Arabidopsis thaliana: one gene and its partners. The protein of the gene in region 3 interacts with the protein of the main gene of each other region in a pairwise test. Each region holds a gene or a part of one and is shown on either strand. Other genes may lie near its edges. The genes, in order: AT1G63110, TH7, FZL and UTR3.

What was found.
Region 1: the proteins of FZL (region 3) and AT1G63110 interact in a protein complementation assay, tested with the Arabidopsis thaliana proteins (one large-scale study listed by BioGRID).
Region 2: the proteins of FZL (region 3) and TH7 interact in a protein complementation assay, tested with the Arabidopsis thaliana proteins (one large-scale study listed by BioGRID).
Region 4: the proteins of FZL (region 3) and UTR3 interact in a protein complementation assay, tested with the Arabidopsis thaliana proteins (one large-scale study listed by BioGRID).

What each region holds. Positions count from the first base shown.
Region 1 is NC_003070.9:23,402,771-23,408,649, reverse strand, and holds AT1G63110 (GPI transamidase subunit PIG-U), read right to left. Parts: upstream 3,963-5,879; 5' UTR 3,781-3,962; coding exon 3,627-3,780; exon of another isoform or gene 3,538-3,626; coding exon 3,490-3,537; intron 3,413-3,489; coding exon 3,352-3,412; intron 3,238-3,351; coding exon 3,205-3,237; intron 3,013-3,204; coding exon 2,888-3,012; intron 2,773-2,887; coding exon 2,638-2,772; intron 2,558-2,637; coding exon 2,481-2,557; intron 2,403-2,480; coding exon 2,146-2,402; intron 1,981-2,145; coding exon 1,924-1,980; intron 1,821-1,923; coding exon 1,652-1,820; intron 1,547-1,651; coding exon 1,489-1,546; intron 1,415-1,488; coding exon 1,329-1,414; intron 1,235-1,328; coding exon 1,178-1,234; intron 986-1,177; coding exon 893-985; 3' UTR 531-892; downstream 1-530. Other genes in the region: AT1G63105 (uncharacterized protein), read right to left, coding at 4,141-4,509.
Region 2 is NC_003070.9:21,952,057-21,955,312, forward strand, and holds TH7 (thioredoxin H-type 7), read right to left. Parts: upstream 1,425-3,256; 5' UTR 1,337-1,424; coding exon 1,202-1,336; intron 1,039-1,201; coding exon 916-1,038; intron 835-915; coding exon 703-834; 3' UTR 541-702; downstream 1-540. Other genes in the region: AT1G59725 (DNAJ heat shock family protein), read left to right, coding at 1-154. UniProt on the Arabidopsis thaliana protein: Probable thiol-disulfide oxidoreductase that may be involved in the redox regulation of a number of cytosolic enzymes.
Region 3 is NC_003070.9:759,389-766,731, reverse strand, and holds FZL (FZO-like protein), read right to left. Parts: upstream 5,472-7,343; 5' UTR 5,412-5,471; coding exon 4,922-5,411; intron 4,847-4,921; coding exon 4,341-4,846; intron 4,223-4,340; coding exon 4,154-4,222; intron 3,720-4,153; coding exon 3,522-3,719; intron 3,434-3,521; coding exon 3,302-3,433; intron 2,753-3,301; coding exon 2,666-2,752; intron 2,576-2,665; coding exon 2,135-2,575; intron 2,034-2,134; coding exon 1,866-2,033; coding exon of another isoform or gene 1,801-1,865; intron 1,708-1,800; coding exon 1,477-1,707; intron 1,248-1,476; coding exon 1,132-1,247; intron 980-1,131; coding exon 679-979; 3' UTR 538-678; downstream 1-537. Other genes in the region: AT1G03165 (uncharacterized protein), read right to left, coding at 352-369. UniProt on the Arabidopsis thaliana protein: Probable membrane-remodeling GTPase that plays a unique role in the in the determination of thylakoid and chloroplast morphology and regulates organization of the thylakoid network.
Region 4 is NC_003070.9:4,910,547-4,914,937, reverse strand, and holds UTR3 (UDP-galactose transporter 3), read left to right. Parts: upstream 1-1,770; 5' UTR 1,771-1,908; coding exon 1,909-2,012; intron 2,013-2,201; coding exon 2,202-2,299; intron 2,300-2,394; coding exon 2,395-2,525; intron 2,526-2,639; coding exon 2,640-2,670; intron 2,671-2,755; coding exon 2,756-2,859; intron 2,860-2,951; coding exon 2,952-3,073; intron 3,074-3,170; coding exon 3,171-3,576; 3' UTR 3,577-3,845; downstream 3,846-4,391. Other genes in the region: FLP (Duplicated homeodomain-like superfamily protein), read right to left, coding at 4,291-4,391. UniProt on the Arabidopsis thaliana protein: Essential sugar transporter required for the transport of UDP-glucose from the cytoplasm into the Golgi and the endoplasmic reticulum. Essential for pollen development and involved in embryo sac progress.

The DNA of each region.
Region 1 (5,879 bases), about 23 Mb from region 3:
AGTTCGAAGTATATTTCCTCCACTAGTTTCTTCCCATCTGATGAAATCCAAGAAACAAAATTACAAAATCAAGAACCATTAGTTGTCTTAACTTAACAGATGAAAAAGGAGTAGTTTCAAACTGTATTTTGTGACTGAGCTATGAAGGAAAACTGCAGTTTGAAGTTTGAACTTTGCTGAAGTCAGCTCCGATACACAACCGCATTCCATCACCAAACGCCATGAAATTCCATCACCACACGCCATCAATACAATATATAATACCAAGATATGCAATCATGCATACATCAGCTTCATGCAATATATGCATAATTTTTAGGAGATTTCAGATGTCACAAGATCGAATTGAACATATATTTTCAACAGTGTGAAATACAGTTATACGGTTAGGGTCTGATTTTTGTTTTTGGTACCACGTGGGTTTTACAAGTTTTTATGATATTACAAATAAATTAATAATGCATCACACTTCATTTATTGTGAATGGGTGACTTTTAAGAAAACAATGACCAAACACCACCCAATAACCTTCCTGCACTGTGTCATTTAGGCCTTAATGGTGCAGTGGATAAGGATAAAGTACGGGACATAGACAATGCCTTTAATCATCCACCATTCACAAATGATAATACCTTGTATACATGCGATGTAACTTCAAATATAGGGATGATTGTGTGCTTTGCGGATCAAAACAAGAACTTTAAAACCTCTCGGTAAAAAGTACAAATTAATGGTTACTCTAAACGGAAAGGCACAGGAGATTTGTTATTTATATGATGTTCTCAAACAAAGAAAAGCTACTCACACAAATCACATGTTGCCAACTTTAAGCTAAAGACCCAACTCTTTTCTTTACGTGTAACAGAAAAGTGGCGCAATGACCTTCAATGGCTTAGCTCTTGACTTCTCGATGGTTTGAGTTTGATCTCTTCAGCGCCCTGTCATGGTTTAGCATTGCGCTTACGCTCTCAACCACGAAAACGATCTGTAAAGAAAAGCAGAAACCCGTATGCGGGTTTTAGTCAAGATAACCCAAAACTACAACATTCTTTGATCAATAACTGATGATCTCATCATCCTCTGCTTGATATCATCAAATTTTGTACTATATGAGTATCAACTCCCAACTACTGAATAGAATAATGAATTTTGAAATGGATCCAGGCCTATATTTTACCTGAAAGCACGCGTAGCCGATAGCGTTTCCAAAGTAGAAATTTGCATTTCCGGTTCCCTGTCATGAAAAAATCAAAGGTAGTTGTGATCATTAGAACATTTTGTTGCAACTGCTGTGAAGAGTTGGGTTATGGATTTGAGTAGAAGCTTACCCGCCATATCCAGAGATTGTGCATCACAGGGCTGAGGAGAGAGATCCCGAGATATCCACAGAAGAGGAAGAACGAGAACTTCATATCTATGTGAAACAGAAGCAGAGTTTATATGCAAAGGCTAAACAATGCTAAGAGGATGTGAAGTATTTGCTTTTACCTAATAACTCATTGACAAACAATGCCCATAAGCTCAAGTATAACGCCGAATCTCCGACCTATTGAGAGTAAATCAAATGATGAAAGCATTGTTAACATTTATGAATATAATTCCTCAAAGAAGAAAAGATAACTTCAAGTTCACAGTGAATTCAACTACTTACTGAAGGATAAGATTTAAGAATCGAGGAGATCGCTAAGTATATGAAAGCCAGGAAACATGGCCGATGTTTCAACCTTATGGCTAAGGGCAGTAACATGAACAGAATATTTACGTGTAAAACTATCAGAAAAAAGTTTCTGAAGAAGTCGAATACTTCTGCAAAGAAGTACCTGAAAACGAGATTTAAAACGAACAGTAAATAGTCTTTTCATAAAAGAAGGGATCCCTTATTCATCACCCAATGATATCACCATATTAATTTATTTTACTTACCAAAAGACTCCAATGTTTGGTGAAAGATCTTCAATACTAAGAATGAAACCATACGTCCTACAATAGGAGGCAAAGACAAACAAACATCAAATCGCCTAAACACTACGTTGCAAGTTCTTAATAAATAATTATATGATTTGGAATATAAGTTATAGATATAATATGGCTAACGGAAACTAATCCTATAGCGGTTATGAATAAGATTTCTAAGTTAGAGGCTACCTCTTGAACATCTCCTCAAGCCCACCATATTTATTCAGTGATAAGGCACATAAAATCAACACATAGAGTGACCACAGAAGTACCCAGAACAAGAAGTGTGCGACTGTTTTCCATAAGAAAGGAAGGTGCGTAGTCTGTTTCAACTTGGCTTGTTTAGAAACAGTAGAGGTTGAACTCTCCTCATTTTCTACACTTCTGGTCTGAAGGAACAATTTTATAGGAGGAGCATCCAAACCATATCCCAATAGAAAGATTATCTGTGGGAAATGCACGAGCAGTTAGAATTTGTTTAATTTGAGAAACGTGAAAAACATAAAATAAGAAATGATACATACTGGAATTGTCAGAGTAGCAGGATAAAGAGATAAATGTGTGGCAATGACTAAGCCAAATGCTGCCAGAGGAACTCGTCCTGCATGGGTAGAAAACATCAGTTATAAAATTTCAAGAAACTATTGAACAAACAATATGCAAGTATCATCATCTTCTTACGTGTAACTGCTCCAAAAAGCGCCAATATGACAGCCAGGTTTTCGATGGGAGAAGTTGATAAGCCCACACAAGAAACTATCGTGAAAGGATTCCACAAATACACAAGAGCAGCAATATCACCACAAGGTAGGATCACTGAGGAGACAACGAAAAAGGAGAGATCAATATTTGCCTTCAAGTAAATAGTTACAAGAAAAGAGTAGAAATAAGATAGATGATACACAAAATTCAACAACTGACTTCAATCTACCTTTATCCCTTGATGACTTAAGAAAACCAAGTAGTCTCGCATTCAGTCCATAAGCCATCTGGAGTTTCTGACCAATAGCTCGAAGAAGCATTGCACTTAATATATCTGCAATAACAAAAACCAAGCTGTATCCAAGAGAATGTTGGTAGCAACGACATGACTATAAAGCTCTTGATGAATAGTAAATCATTCAAAGATCATCTCTTTTCCAAATTCACATCTCACAATCTAATCCTACCTAAGATTTTAAGCTAGCTCAAATCTGAGAAGAAAGAAAAAACATGTGATCACAGAAATGAAGGGACACTGAAAAGTACCTGCACAAGAGGTGACTTGGTTGCCCTTTAATCCTGCAAACACACAAATTGTCTTCCAATAAAACTCAAGTGGGAAAAAATCATGTTTTCATATGATTCAAGCTCAATAAATCACAAATCCTAATATCAAAATCGATTAGTCACTACCTTTGAACTGTGAGAGGTCCAAGAACCGAGAGCAGCAATGGTGAGCCATGATACATAGATCCTGCTCAAATATGTACAACTTCAGCTTCTAATAGCCTAAGAATCCAAATTTACAGAGGATCAAATCTTAAGATAGACCTGCATATGGTGACATCGATGCCTGCTTCAACCAATAACCTTCAGCAACTGAAAATGTTCATACAAAACGAAGAAATGTGAGCTGAATTCGAGATCTTAGAGAGCTAATGAGGGAGTGAGAAAGAGAGAGGAGATACGGCGGCGAATGCTGGTGAGAGGGGTAGAGACCTCCGGACGGGAAGAGAGATTGAGATTTCCCGGGAAGGAGATCAAGATCAATCGGAAAGCAATGGAAGATAAAGCCCAAATCCAGAATCGGCTTAGCTGCTTCATTTTCTGCTCCTCCGCCATTTCTCCGTCGTCTTTTCTTCTTCTCTCTCTCCGGCGAGTGAAGAGAGACGACTCAGATGAAACGACGACGTATTTGATATGATCTTGTTAAGGTTTGGTTCCGGTTTGATTTTTTCGGTTTATGATCCATTTATAATTCGGTTTGATTAATGTAACTCTATATCGGTTCGGTTCGGTTTTTGTTTGATGCATTTCGGTTTCGTGTTTGTGTGATAAACATTTTTCCAATGTAAAATATCATATGAAGAATAATCATATATTTACTTTTTTATCTTGTTGTAATTTTGAAGAGAACACTAAATACATATATTATGCTTCGTTAAATACTTATGTGCTTATTAACTTTTTATGTTTACTTAATTACGTTGGTACGTTGTGTGAACTGCTCTCTCCTGCTTCGTTCTTTGCTTTCTTCTTTACTTCCTCTTTCCTTGCTTCTTCTTCTTCCTTTATTGCTTCATCTCTAGCTTTCTTCCTTTCCTTTGCATCAACAACCGCTTTTCGCATTATGTCTAGGGCAGTTTTTGATTTCTCAAAGACATCATCCCCCATCTTGTCTACCTCGTCAAGATCTCGAAGAAAATTAGGATCTGAATTTGTACTTCGTATAACTCCCACGCGATATGCAACATGTTTAGCTGTGTTGATGATTTCCTCCATTTGTGAAAGGATCGGGTTTGTCACGGCTTTAAACGCTTCGTCTCCCAAATCTGTGTTAGTGGCTTTCATGTAAGCTGTATAGAAATAGTCTACATTCGTCCTTGCTTTCTTGGCTTTGGTGTTTATCTCTGTATAAATAGATTGCATCTTAAGAACCAAAAACAAAAAAGAGTTATTGAGTTTTTTATATAATACGAATAAGAGCTAGCTAGAGAGAATTGTGATGATGCACATCCTATATATATACACACGTTTAACAACTTGATTAGCAAGTTCAATAACTATCGCAAAAGTGCTTTATTCGCTCATAAGTCATAATCAACCTCCCAATTTTTTTTTAACAAAGTATAGTTTATGTGTACACGCTTAATTAAGCCACCCTCCCAAGCTTAGTGTTTTTTTCTTACTTTTTATTCATCAAACTCAAAGGAAATGAATGATCTAATTCAAAACTAATTATACAAATGGAATTCCACAATGCACAATGAATGGTTAACGTGGGAGGGAATTATGTACCTTTATATCGTTTAAGAACAATCCTTTTAAGATACAATTATTTTCTTATTTGCATTTGGTTTAGCTTTCATGCAAAGTTTATTTTCTTTTTTTGGATAACGACTTTTATGCAAAGTTCTCTATTAATATAGCTCTTATCCTGTTATATCATCTGTATATTGTAGCATGATTTCTTACAGAGCACATGATAACAATCCAAAATAAATATATGTGTATATTTGTGCTAAGTGTATCTATATATAATTATATATTATTCATTAATATATATGTTAATATCTACTTTTATGTGTATAGTTTAGATTTTGTACATAGATTCAGATTTGATTTTTAGTCTAGTGATTAACTAGATTATGTTCATACTATTTTAGTGTTTCCTAGAAAATCATTACAACCCAAATACTTATCTAAACATCTTAAGATAGAGTTTTAAGATGTTAAACCTAAAAGGTCCTAGTGTTAATGAATGAAAAATATCAATTATTAGGGAAAAGATACTAGAAATTATATACATCTTGAATTAATCATTACCATTAGATTAAAATGTATTTCTAAATAGTTTCCAAATATTTACCCTATTTCTTATTCTTATTTATCAGTAAAATTAGACAACATTTTGATACAAAAAGAAACACATTTTGCCCATCTTTATTAATAGGCTTATTAAAAAAAGGTTTATTAAAAAGCCCATTATATTTGCTAGTAAAGCCCATTAGTTTTGAAATTTTGTAAGCTCTTTATGTTTGTGAAATCTTGCTTATTTGTTTCATAGCTATTCTTTGGTTGCGAATTTTGTTGAACCTTAACCTAGTGTGGAAGCAATGCCGGAACCTCTAATTTTTTGTTAACGCAATTCAAGAAACTCTAGGAAGGCCAGAAACTCTAATTTCTTGTGAATGCAATTTTACACAAGTTTCAATAAAAAA
Region 2 (3,256 bases), about 21 Mb from region 3:
GGGTCAGGAGATAGTGATTCCTAGTGAAGGAATGCCCATCTCTAAAGAAGGTTCAAAGAGAGGAGATCTAAGAATCAACTTTGAGATATGTTTCCCCTCGAGGCTAACATCGGAACAGAAGACAGATCTCAAGAGAGTTCTTGGTGGTAGCTGAATTGGCAACTAGTTTCAAGAAAGCTCTTGAATTCAAAAGGTCAATTCAGTGTACATACATATACAGAATTGATCGGTTTTCGTTTTTGATCTCATATCTTGATCACGAAATAGTAAGCAGAATTGATTGTTTTTTGTTGTAAAAGCTATCTTTGTTGTTATCTAATTTATTCTGCTTTCATAAGTTATATATGTAACTCTCAACTTCATACAAGCTCTTCGAAAATGTTATGTAACGTTTGTTTTTTTCCATTTAGTATTTTAACATATACTTGGAATGGGACTCTTTTTTTTTTTTTTTTATGGTATAGTTCTTTTAGTCGCCATACTCACATTACCATTGTTATGTTGTTTTGCTTACGTTGGGGTGATTAGATTTCATACAAATATAACTACAACATTTTTGTTAATTGTTTTCATTTTTGACATTATTATTTATATTGTTTTGAGAAATTAAACAACAAACCAGAAACCCAACTTCAAACAATCAATTCAGAACAGACATTCAAAAGTATAATAATCATTTTTTTGTAAGGGAAAAGAAAAAACTTAAACCCTATGTTGTTCAATCTTCTTCACGAGCTCATCAGGTTTGGCTCCAACAACCCTATCAATCTCTTCTCCTCTCTTCACAAAAACAAAAGCTGGAAGTGTAATAGCTCTATATGTCCCAGCCACATCCTGGAATACATACCAATTATAGCTTAGTCTTGAAACCATAAGATGATTCTTCTTCAAGTAATAAAAAAAAAGAGTAATTACCATTAGCCTATCCACATCAACCCTAGCAAACACAGCTTCTGAGTACTTTGAAGCAATCTCCCTAACTCTAGGTTCCATTGCTTTACAAGGTCCACACCATACAGCTGTGAAATCAATTACTAGCTTCAAAACCACAATAATTTTTTCAGTTAGTTTAAGAGAAAAAACATGTCATTTACTTGTAAACAAAATTAGAAAACACAAATAGTATAAGATTTAAAACAAACATTATAAGTTTGGTTAAAAAAATTTAATACGTTTTAGGTAGTTTTCGAGTAATGTATACCAATTTGTTTGAGCCTTTCATGGAATCAAAGAGAGATTTCCATTGTCTTCTTGATTCGATTTCCACAACAAATCCATTACTGGTAATTTCCATTGATGAATGAACATCATGCACAGATGAAACATTGGAACCCATTATCTTCGGAATGTGTATGTATGAAGAAATGGTGTTCACTTATTTGCTAGTGATATACTGATATGCAAAGAAGAGAGACAAGGAGGAGCATTATATAGCTTTTAATCGGAGAACTTAATTTGTTGGTTATAAATAAATAAGTAAATGCAAAGGAATATGATTCAATTTGCTATCCTTCTTTAGTTCTAGCCGTTGATTTTTTTATTTTTTCAAGAATATATAGCTTATACCAATTTAGTTTCGCTTTGTGTTTTTAAAATTCCAGTTAGTTGTTAAATATTCTCCACTACATAAAAATATAGCTGGTTGCAAGGAACTAGCTTGCCTATCACATTTGCAAACGAATTTTTTATTTTTGTGGGTGGATAACAATCCGCGGCGGATCGATTTTCTAATTAAAAAATGGTAGCCTAGGTACTTGATTTATTAGTTTAGATTAATTAGTTATTGTCAACGCTATAAATTAAAAGTAGTTAAAATTTGTTTTGTTTAAATAATATATGCACCATCCACTTCAAGGATCTAATACCTATATAATATTAATGCTATTAATTACTATAAAAATAAAAATGTCACATGGCAGGAGAGTTTCTAATGAGAACTCATTTTTATTTTTTTCCTAATTGATGGTGATACTCTTATGTCTTTACTGAAATCTTTAATTTACATTTACATAAAACTTTACAGAACGAAATTAGATTAGAATAAAACGAGAAAAAAATTTGCAAAATGACCATGCATGTCATTGTAAATTTGTAATGTTGTTTGGTGTGTCCGTGTGTAAGAATATTGATTTGTGTTAAAAAGAAGCTGTCATCAAATTCTTCCTCAAGGTCCTTCTTATTCCATTTCAGTACTTATAGGAATCATTGTCGAAAATGAGTTTGAAATTAACAATTTATTCGATACTGGGGGACAAGAAATGCACGTCGTAGCCACGAACATCATCTTTAACTTTTTGCCCATAAACTTTCACATCATCCTCTTATAATTCTCATTCTCAAGGAACTAGGAATGCTGATTCAAAAATACAGTTCGGTGATGCTCGAATATCTTAAATTTTAGAACATATTGTTGGGGTTTAAGATCTCGATTTGCAAATATTAATTTGAAACCATTTTTTGGTCTGATTTCTAATAAAATTGAAACACCACTGTTTTATAAGAACTAAAAAAAACTTGTAGAAATGTTGCATCAAAGTATGCTTTATAAAACATTAAATATATATATGTTGGGATCAAAATATGCATATATATATATTATATATATATATATATGAAGGCGTTATCAAAGAAATACAACAAGTTTTTTAGAAAACTGAAAACATTAAGGAATACTTCTTAAATTTGTAAGTACCCTTCCTAAGACTTTCTTTCCCTTACTTTTACTGTATTTGGAATTTTGGAATTGTGTAGTTTAAGACTTAAAAGAATTCTCAAATATTTATTGTACTGGTAATTCATAAAGTAAACTAATCACGTTTAGATATTTAAACATGTGTAGAAAATCGTTTTTAATTTAGATTTTGCCTTTGAATTTATTCATTTTTTAATCATAATTTATCGATAATATTACACATGACTTTCTTAAAGGTTGCATGAGTTCTGCTACCCACATATTTCTTTATTCCTAGCTCGATCTATAAAGATTCTAATATAAGTTTTTCCACAATCTAAAGAATTTTATTCCATGAAATCGTATCCATACAATTTTATATTGTTGATTTTCTCTCTTTTTAATTTATGTAGGAAGAGTAACACAATTAGTTCAATACCTCTGTATTTACTTTTCTGCTACTAAGCAATATATTACAGTTACTTATAAAATAGTTCTGTATAATAGTTCAATAAAGTTAGTTATATTTTTGCAAACAGAAAGTGTGAAAAAGATACAAGAGCAGAAGAAACGATTCTTAAATAC
Region 3 (7,343 bases):
CGTTAATTCTAAACAATCTCCAGTATCAAGCATTAACAAGGTTTATTCTAGCACCTCTGGATTTTTAAAACTTCTCGAACCAATCCTTAACTAAAAAAGAAATTCAAGCGTTTTATCTTTAGAAATCACAGCTAGCATATGCTGAGAATTACTCTCCATGGAAACTTATACTAAGATTGTTTTTTTCCCTCATATTTAAGCCACTAAAGTCAAAAGATTAGTACATTGACAACTAAGTTTAGATGCTCTATGCGGAGAATCAATTTCATATGAATGTATCAAGCAATTCATGAACTCTAGGAGACCATAAAATCCAATTGACAGAAAAAATGAGTCAACTAACATATTTACCTGTGATATGAGGTACATGTGCAGGTCAAAGATCAGAAGAAAATTTTCTCCATGAGTCTCTTGAGCTTCCAACTCATCCAGCGATTTGTATCACAAACAATCTGAAAAAGAAGCTAAAAAACGTTATACCAAAGTTTCACGCCCATAATGCTATTGTTTGGTTCTTTCAAGAACCTCCCCAATCTTTTGAATTCGCATTCAAAAAAACCATCAGTGAGTCCATTTCAAGTCGGAACTGGCAGGTATTATTCATTATGACAAAGTACATACACTTGCCCCCCACTGAACAATGTCAAGAAGGGAAAACCCGACATTGTGTTGGAATAGCTAAAGTCTCATCTCGTCTCGTGATACATGAAGGTTATCAATATCAACTTGTAGCAACTGTAATTTACTTCTAATATCTGATAATTCTTTCTGGATTCCTAAAAGACGATCAAGTCTTAGCTGAGCTTCTTCTCGATAAGGCTTGGCAACAATATTCACAAAGTTAACTAGATTACTCGTCGCATCTGAAAGATCTTTTTGCATAGCGTCTTCGAGCTGTTGAGCCAACGCATCAGCCACTTTATTCACCTTACCAATTATAGCCTGTCTTCGATATGGGAAGTTTGCTATAGCCACATACCTGTCACATAGATTATGTTATGCATACAACCAGTCTTTCTTAAAAGTCATAAATATGCCTCTAGTTGCAAGAAAAAAATACACTAGGCGTGATCTAAGAAGGTGGAGTAATGAGACATTGGGAAGAGGGGAAATTTAGAGCAGTGTTATTACCCTCCAGCGGAGCAAAGGCCAAGAGCAAGAAGATCTTCCAGTGTGGTCGGTAGCACTGAGGTTAGAAGTGATGCAGACAGTCCTGCAGCTCCAAGCCCACCAACTGTCACAAAGAACTAGAAAAGGCAAGCAAAACTCAACTATGTCAAAAGTGTCACTTAGATTGATTCTTGAATAGCGAGACGAAGTATCTGGGAAAATACGGTACTGAATTAACATCTCCGTCAGATCATAGGTTCGGATTGAACAGATGACACAATTAAACAATGATGAAGATCAAGACACTTTAATCGACTGAATTCTAGTTAGAACTTAGACTAAAAGTATTTAATACTTGAAGCTCACCACTTCTCGAATATCTTGTTCCAATCGTTTTGATGTGGTTCCGGCACTCAAGTTCTGTATTGTTTTCAAGCTGACTTTATCAGTTTTCTGAAGTAAGTCATATGTGTCTATGCCCAATTGCGTTTTTGAATTGACATATGTTGGCCATTTGTTTTCGAATGATTTCAGAGACAGACTCCCTTCACGGGCAGTATTTGATTGTAGCCATTCAGCATATTTTCCAAGCAATTCCTGCAAACAGTGAAATGTAAAGTCAATCAGGTCACAACAAGACATTGTTAGACAATATTTACTTTCTGCATGAATAGTGACTATATCTCAGACCTCATATATATGACCAACATGTCCCCAGTTAGGCCAATACTCAAAGAATAAAGCATCACACTTACTTTCGCATTTGTGAGTGCTGGAGCGAGTATTTCACCTTGAACTTTGGATGTAGCTGCTACTGAGGCCGATTTTTCCCCTTTGAACACGTACGAGATCGCAAGATCAAGGCTTGATAGTCGCAGGGTAGTTCCTATCAGATCAACAACTTGTAATCTGGCATTATCAATCTGCGATAAAAGCCAGAGTACAAAACACAAAAAAGCCAAGTTAGAACAATCCAATTTCCTCCTTCGTGATTCAACAAGATAATATCTAATAGAATTTATACCAACGAGAGAGCCTGCCTTCTCCAAGAAATGCTCTCATATTCCATCTTAAGCGCGTATTCTTTAGTTCGACTGATAATCTTGTCTGCTGAAGCCAAGTCTTCCCTAGCAGCTAGGCAATCTTGTCTCACAAGAGCTTCCACAGAAGAAAGGAGACGCTCAGCAATCGCCATGGGTGTCTCCAATTTAAGCCTTATTCTCTCCATCCCGGTAGCTGTTGAGCTATCCAAGAAGCTATAAAGAAATTTCTCAAGTTCATTGAAGCTCTGGACTCTCCAATTAGAACCAGGATCTGCGATCTCAAGATCATCTCTGCCAACCAAAGAAGCTGTTGAAAGCTTCGCCTCAAGAGCAGACCGTGCGGACACCGGATACAATATCACATTTTCTGTATTAAGCAACTTCCGTGTATTCTCTTTAACAAATGAAATAGCTTCCTCAAGCTGCAGCAGTAAAATTAATCTTTAGTCAAGAAAAATCCAGCAATTACAGAGACTATCAAGGAAAAGACATAAATATTGTTTCTGATAAACCTCACGAGCATCACGATAGATATCAGATTTATTCAGAATAAACACAAATTTCTTTTTCCACTGCTGTGTGTACCGGAGAAACGCAACCTGACAAACGCAATGAGATGTAAATCAGCCTACAGTAAAATCAAGACAGCAGGAAGCTCCAGAGGTAGAGATAGAAATGACATGGGTATGATGACATTGAGAAGCTTATTCCTTCTTTTGAAACTTTTTCAGATTTTCAAAATAAGAACCAAATATTCATAAGGTTAGTACTTCGTAGATGATCATTTACATACAATTTGCCATGGACGTAAAATCAGTTTTGCTGTACCAATAACAACTCACCTCTCAAATGTATTGGCCTAAGCTTTACCAAAATATGGACCAACAGGACATACTGGTTCCAGCAATAGCTATAACACTCATTACTTTGAAAATAAATTAGTCTAGTTTAAATTTATAATCAACAAAACCTTGATATATGCATTCAACCTAGTGACAACTTTCCCTTCCCTACACAAGGTCTTGATGGTCTATACATGACTTAACTAACTACTTTCGTGAAAAATAGATCTAACAAGCTACTTAGGCAGATACATATTGAGCAAAAACAACAACAACTAACATGCCAAGTAAAACGGTAACTTCTACCTCACTTTCAGTTAAAGGGCGGTCAGCAGAAAGAACAAAAACAAGCAAATCTGCACGTGGAACAAATTCTTCTGTAAGACGCTGTTGCCTTTGAAGGATCACATTGGTCCCAGGTGTGTCAACAATATTTATCTGCTCGAAAGGAGAACAACCCAAATCAATTCCTCCAAATAATTAGTAAAAATTCAGGACTGCGATGGTAGAATTTTGAATTACTCACATCCTTAAGTATTGGTGCAGGAAGATAGCATACATATTGGCCATCTGGATGTGTTTGGCAACGTTGTTGCTCTTCGGATTCCAAGTCAGAGTAGCACAGAAACGTGATTTCATTGGTAGTGGGGACTACCCCTTCTTTCAGGTATCTCTTCCCAAGAAGTGCATTGATAACCGTTGATTTTCCAGAGTTAAATTCCCCCTAGTACCAGCAAATTGTGGATTCCAATTAATTATCCATACAAAAACTATTTTGAATCATAAAGGCAACTTGTCCCACTTAAAACATCTTCCAAGAACGGCATACTCACAAGTCACAAGAAAGCGAAAAAACTATGTACACAAGCAGATGGTACAGTTAAGAAATATGCAGTTCCCTTACAACCAGATCCATAAGCAAATTAAGAAGAGAAGCATAGACAGAACAAAAGAAGAAGCGAAACATCATAGTCATAGGCGACGAAAGAAGATATTGAGAAGCACTAAAGGACAAGTGACTAGAAGCATGCCCATTGTATCTCAAGCTATCTAGTGCTGGCAAAAGTGTGTAACTAAAATGTTTCTGGAATGAATATAGAGCTAATACCAATGCAAATTCCTGGAATCACAATTTGACGGAGTTGAGTGCAGAATTACCACTATAACCATCAGAAACGGCTCATCGATCCGAGAAACAGCATCAATTAGAAGGGAGACTTCCTCCATCTGTTAATGAAAAATAGTCGAAGAAGTAAATGAAACCATATTATAACCACACAAAAACCTACTTAGAACCATTTCAAAAAATTGACTTCAACTACCAAATGTTTGAAATAAAAATCACCAGTGGAGCCGCCTTGTGGATGATTTCAATCGTCTCTCTCAACACAGATTTCTCCATTTCTACTATTAGTTTCTGTTTGTCCTCTAATTTTATGAAGCCAGCAGAATTCTTTTTCTCCGGCAGTTCATTCATATTTTGTGTCTCATGATTATTTACAACATAAGCTCCATCAAGACTCTGGCGAAGAGCTACATCCCTAGAAGAACGCAAATCTTTCAACGAAATAACAAAACCAGAAACACCTGATTTCAGTAACTGCAATTCTTCTTTAGCTTCTTCATTGCCTCTGCAAGTCACATATATCGGTATTTTCACGCTCTTCAACAAAGAATCCGCCACTTGCGTATCTTCTTCACCAGATCCAAGTATAAGGAAATCAGCACCCTCGGAGCTTGAGGCAATTAGAGCAGAATCAACATCCTTCACAATCCGAGCTACCAGTGGAAGAAGTACCGAGTCGGGGTTGGATCCCATCAATGTGTTTCTCGCCACAATCGCCGGAAGACCTGTACATAGCATTGAGAGACAAAACTCACTCTATGAGAAATTAAATGCTAAAACTGAATGAAATCAGTTGTTACCTTCGTCGGAGAGAGCAACACCACTAGCACCAACGGCGGAGGCGATATCAACACGTTCAGCGATCAAGAGGTAAGCACGGCCTTTGACAAGTGATTTCAGCAAACAAGCCGCCTCGTAGAGCTTACCAGCGGTGGCTCCGCCATCAATCACGACGATTTGAACCGATTTAGCTAAAGCACGGTCGACCAAATCAAGAGTCTCTTCACGATTCCCGCTCATAACCTCGTCGGCGTCTAGCCGGAGAAGTAAACCGGGAACGGCGAGTTCGGGACGCTTGTAACCACCAGGATAAAGAGTTCGCGGCCTAGAAGAAGAAGTCTGATCGGCGGATTCATGCGAAATGTTTCTGATCGAGAGAGAAGAAAAACGCCTATGACGTGGAGGAGTAAAGGAGGATAACTTAAAGCACCGGCCAGGAAACGGTGGAGATGCGGCGGAGATAAGAAACGGTGACGTCACACATTGCCGGTGAGAGATTAGAGTTCTCATGGAGAGAGAAAGAGAGAGAGTGAGATACCTTCGTCTGTGTTTCTGATTAGTTTTCTTATCTCTTAAATATCCTATTGGCCCATCCCAAAGCTATAAGACGGACGGCGCGATTAATTACTTTTCAAACACATGAATTAACGTTTTCACATATGTGTTCATATCCAAAAGGTCCAAAGTATACCACGAAAAGGGAGAAAAACAGATTTAAATTCGTGAAATCCCTCTCCCACAATTAAATTTACTTCTTCCAAACAAAGACAAACGGCTTGAACCAGTCAAGTAAGTGATACGGCACCACTAGATGTTCCAGAGCCTCCATCTTTTTTAATACGAAGAAGATTTGTCCTTTGTGTGTATGAATTTAACAAGTTTTAATTATAGATTTGTGTGTGTATGAATTTAAAAACCTAGTACGTAGCATCAGGGAATGATATCATAGCTATTTTAGTTGAGCTTTCAAATAAGAGATGATCAAAATTTAGAACTTCTAAGAACATGAACGAATAAACAACTATTTTCTTTTCAAACCAACTAAGGTAGATGGTCACTGAAAGTATATACATCAGATAAAAGTTGCTTGTTATTCCAGATGAAGTTGGACCGAGAAAAAAAAAAGTTACTTGTTATTCAATATGTTTGGATCTTTGTCTTGCAGATTGCTATATAGGGTTGATAATGGGCTTCGTTGTAATGGGTATACAGTGTATAAGAATCGGCCTTGTGCAACCAATCCTAATATGTGTGTCTCATTAAGGTAAGTGCTTAAGATTAGAAGAGTAAAACACTTGACTTATCAACTATGTCAACTAAGGGTTCTATATTTTTATTAAATAAAAAATAATTGAATATTTTTTAGAATGATTTAATAAATTTAATGCTATTGTTTGATTTAAATGTATAATTCACCGCGAGAAGAAATTTTATAACTCAAATTTTAAAGTTTTAAGTTGTATTTGTTTATTTTGTTAAATGTTTAATATTGTATAATTGTATTTTGATTGTTGTTTCTCGGATTTCACCCGTAGTACATCATCCCATATTAATATCGAATCAAACCCGTCAATTCTAAAATTTCACCCGTGGTAGTATTTAATTGTATAATTATATTTTAATTGTCATTCTAAGATTTCACTCCTAATTCTATCGCAAATTATTATCAACCCAAACCAGTCAATTCTAAAATATCACCCGTAGTACACCATCCCATATTAATATCGAATCAAGCCCGTCAATTCTAGGATTTCACCCGTGGTAGTATTTAATTGTATAATTATATTTTAATTGTCATTCTAGGATTTCACTCCTAATTCTATCGCAAATTATTATCAACCCAAACCAGTCAATTCTAAAATATCACCCGTAGTACACCATCCCATATTAATATCGATTCAAACTCGTCAATTCTAGGATTTCGCTCGTGGTAGTATTTAATTGTATAATTATATTTTAATTGTCATTTTAACTCCTAGTTCTATCGCAAATTCTTATCAACCCAAACAGTCAATTCTAAAATTTCACCCGTAGTATAAAGTTTAAATATTTATAATATTTAAATTTCTTATAAAAGAATCAAAATGTGTTTTAAAAAAATTAAAGTTTTAAGTTTTTTTTTTTTAATATTGTTAATTTTGTTTAGTGTTTAAGATTATATAATTACATTATGATTGTCATTATATGTTTTTCTCCATAGCATACTATCCCATGTTATTATCCACTCAAACCTGTCACACCATATAACCCCGTCCCGTGAAATTAAACACAAATTTGTCATTTTATTATAAATTTCAAATATTTATAAAATTAGAAACTTCAAAAAAGATTAATATTGACCCAAACTTCATCATTGAATTTTGAGTGTTATATCTAAGATTTCTCTCGCAATATATCGTCCCGTATTAATATCTTTTATATTGTTTAAATTTCTTGTAAAAT
Region 4 (4,391 bases), 4.2 Mb from region 3:
TGAAACAGCTTATGAATACTTTTTGTTAGTCTGAAATTTAGAATTTAAAAAGAATTAAAAGGAAGTTGTGGTTTTTGTTTGGTGTTTTTTTTAACTAATTATGGTCATGGTTGACGTCTGCTAAGGGACAACAAAGTGGTGGGTCTGGATCGCCCATATCGTTGAAATTTTGATCGATATTTTACAATAATACTTACTATCGTTCAGTCACAATTATTAGCGAGATTCCCCTTCAATCAAGATGTTAAGTGTTTACAACTTTTCTTTGGATGTTATATTTATGTTTAAGAAACTTTTACATACACTTCCAAATTATGAGAGATATCAAAACCTTAGAATAAAATTTGGTATTATGGACGATTTTATCTTTCTGAGACGTATTGGATTTACTATTAGATTATTGTGCATATGGCATGCATGCATTAGATATATATAGTCTTTCTTCGATAAATAAAAGTTTAGTCAATGGATGAATCAATCTTTATGTGTAGATCTTTTGTTGATCAACAGGTGATCAAGATTTAAAGGACCCGAAATTAGTTACGAAGTATTGTGGATTTTTCGCATTCTAGTTGACCAAATGAATAATTAAAGTATGAGATTCAACTCTTAAATAATATTTTTGTAAAATTAAGTTTTGAGTTAAGAGACAACGTTAAACCGTCATAATTTATGTGTGTTATATATATAATCGTCAAACCATGGTAAATAACTAAACGCATAGTAGACAAAAAATTTGTAATCATAGATGTAGACGACGGTAATCATCATTTAGATTTGAATTTTTAATGGAACGTGGTGGCTAACGTCGAATACATTTTTGGTGTATTTCTTAAATATAATATCCCATGCATTGACCCAAGAAACTACTTATTAATCAGTTAATCTATATTCACATTGTTATTGACCGGCAGATCGAAAGAGAGTTCTTTTTTCTTTTGCATATTGCATATCACGTGTGGACAAAAGCCCCATTTGGAATCTTTTATGATATTATATTGTTATGTTACACATTAATTTGTTATCTCACCAAGACTTCTATTTTCATTTTGTATCCGGTAAGAGTCACTCTTTTGAGTTTTGACTTTTGACTCTTCAAAATGTATAATTGGTTCTCCCATGAGGATTAAGTATGTCATATAAATTCCGTTTCCCAATATATATAACTTCTATTTTCATTGAGATATAGTATAATATTATTCGTATAGAAAATTACTCAAATCATAATGAACTATGCATGAGTGCATGCATGTGATACCTTGTTTTAATATAATGGAAATTCGATATTTCAAACTTTTCTCGCTATGTTGACGTTATTGTCACATTTACTTTAAGATATATCATATTTTGTTTTAGTAATCTTAACAATGGGTCATCACTAAATTTTAATCAATTAAATCATGTTGGCAACTTTCCTCCATTTGTGTATATACGCCTTTTTCTTTCATTTTCTTACCACAAGTGATCTTAGATTTGTATGAATTCATCAGTTAGTCAAACTGACATGATTAGCTGTGTGCAAGTTTGCTTAATCAAATTAAGGCCCAAGCTGTAAAAAGAACATCCGTTTACAAGTTCTAGGAAACTGCGTGACGTTTTCATGACAATAAAACGGCACATAGTTCCCATTCCTATCTCAGACATGAATGTGCATATGACTTGGATTCCAGAAATAAATCCACGTCCTATAGCCAATCAGAAGTGTCATGTCAGATTATTAAGCCAATGACACAGTTACACGTGGAAAATCTACGTCTTTCTCGCGCCTCCTACACTCTCTCTAATAACTTTCGTTTCCACTTCAGACCGATCTCATAATTTGATCGCAAAACTGATCAAATAGCGTAAAATTGAAATTCAAATTTTCGCCGGAGCTCCGTCGGATAAAACAATAAGCGACGTGCGGCGATGGAATCTCACGGTTCCGGTCTCCGGCGAGTTCTGTTATTGTCGTTCTGTGTCGCTGGGATCTGGGCAGCTTACATATACCAAGGCATTCTTCAAGAGACCTTGTAAGTAAAACTCGTTAGGGTCGAAATCGATCAATCTTATTTTAGCTCGTTGATTATTTTCTCTCGACATTGCTCGATTCTGTTTGTTCGAGATTGTTTCTATTCTCGGAATCCTGGTTGGTGATGCGTTTGCAATTATTGGAAATTTATAGAAATGTAGCTGATAGAACTCTAACATTTTCGAATTAGGTCGACGAAGAAATTTGGTGAAGATGGGAAGAGATTCGAGCATCTTGCATTTCTGAATTTGGCTCAGAATGTAATCTGCTTGGTTTGGTCTTATATAAGTGAGTAGGGCATCTTCATTGTTTATTCCTTAGAATTATAAGTTTATAACAGACGAATAAATGGAACTGAAGTATTTTTGATTGATTATGAGCAGTGATTAAGCTCTGGTCCAACGGAGGTTCTGGTGGAGCCCCATGGTGGACGTATTGGAGTGCTGGCATTACTAATACCATTGGTCCTGCTATGGGCATTGAAGCTTTAAAGTATATTAGTTACCCAGCTCAGGTAAATTAGGCATTGTTAGTGTAATAAAAACCTCATTTTTCTTGATTATGGTTGATAGTTGAGGTAATAACCTTTCTTGGGAAGTAATATTGATGCAAAACTTGCTTCTTGCAGGTCCTTGCAAAATCTTCCAAAATGATTCCAGGTGAGGTGTCAATTTAGAGCATCAATCCATAATCGCTCTCAACTGCTGCTATGTGTATCTTATATATGTTTTTTCTTTCATGTAGTTATGCTGATGGGCTCCTTAGTTTATGGCATAAGATACACTTTGCCTGAGTATCTTTGCACCTTTCTTGTTGCCGGAGGAGTATCTATGTTTGCCCTTCTTAAGGTAGGCAAATCTGCATTCAGGAACTTTGATCATAATCTTTGTTATACTTTGTCTGTGGAAATGTAGTAAACCGTCTTTGACTTGGTTTACAGACAAGCTCTAAAACCATCAGCAAGCTAGCACATCCCAATGCACCCCTTGGTTACGGGCTTTGCTTCTTAAACCTTGCCTTTGATGGATTCACAAACGCAACCCAGGATTCCATTACCGCAAGGTATGACTCTTGACATTCTGTCAGATACTTAACCCAGTCTGACATCTACAACATGGTCTAGATGTTGGACATTAATCATCGCCATACATGGATACAGGTACCCCAAAACTAACGCATGGGACATAATGCTGGGAATGAATTTATGGGGAACCATATACAACATGGTCTACATGTTTGGATTGCCACATGGGAGCGGATTTGAAGCTGTGCAGTTCTGCAAGCAACACCCTGAGGCAGCATGGGACATTCTTATGTACTGTTTATGCGGTGCAGTAGGCCAAAACTTCATCTTCTTGACAATAAGCAGATTCGGGTCTCTAGCTAACACGACCATAACCACAACCAGGAAGTTTGTAAGCATCGTGGTATCTTCAGTTTTGAGCGGGAATCCGTTATCTTCCAAACAATGGGGATGTGTGTCGATGGTGTTCGGTGGATTGTCTTACCAAATTTACCTGAAATGGAGGAAGCTGCAGAGAATGCAGAAGAAGAAAAAGGCCTGAAGCTGAGATTGGGGATCAAAATATTTAATTCTTCAAGAAAATTGTTTTTGATTTGGAAACTTTTTACTTCCAAATATGTCTGAAAGTTAGAGAGAAGAAAGCTTAGTCCATTAGCAAAATGTAAACTAATGCATTAGAAGAAACTTATATATATCAAACCAAAAGACAAATCATATATTTCCACTCATATATATTTGTCTTAACAATACAACAAACTCTTCCTTCTGAGTTTTTCATTTTTCCTAAAGTTACACTCTGGAAAACTTCTTTATATATATGTGATAGAGATTCTGTACAGAGATGATGAAAACAAATCAAGAAATCTGGGGAAAATGCTCAGATGATGTATCTGAGTAAAGCCCTTAGAGACAAACCAAAGAATTTTTTCTTAAAGACACACTGGTGCCTTCTTTTGTAGATGGCTTCCTTATGTTAAGTAAGAAAAGAAAGAGAAATCTGAATCTGAGTATATGGCAGATTCTTGAGAACATTCTTTGATGGGGCTAGAAAATGTTACCGTTAACATTCTAGGACCAGGAAAGAAACTTAAAAACCTTGAGGGAGGAATGCAGATCATGGCATGCCCGCTTCACAAAAACTTCCAGGCCGATATGGCTGCAAAACCTAATATGAAATCTAAGCAAAAGTGGAAAAAATTACGTCTCCATGGAGACTAAACCGCGGTTTAGGGTATGAGAGAGATGGTTGGTTGGTTTACAAGCTATGGAGAAGGACTCTTTTGCAAGGGGGTGGTTTTGAAGGATTAGCACTTGGACATGGAGATGAGGACTCGATCCCTAGTGTTTTTAGCAGGA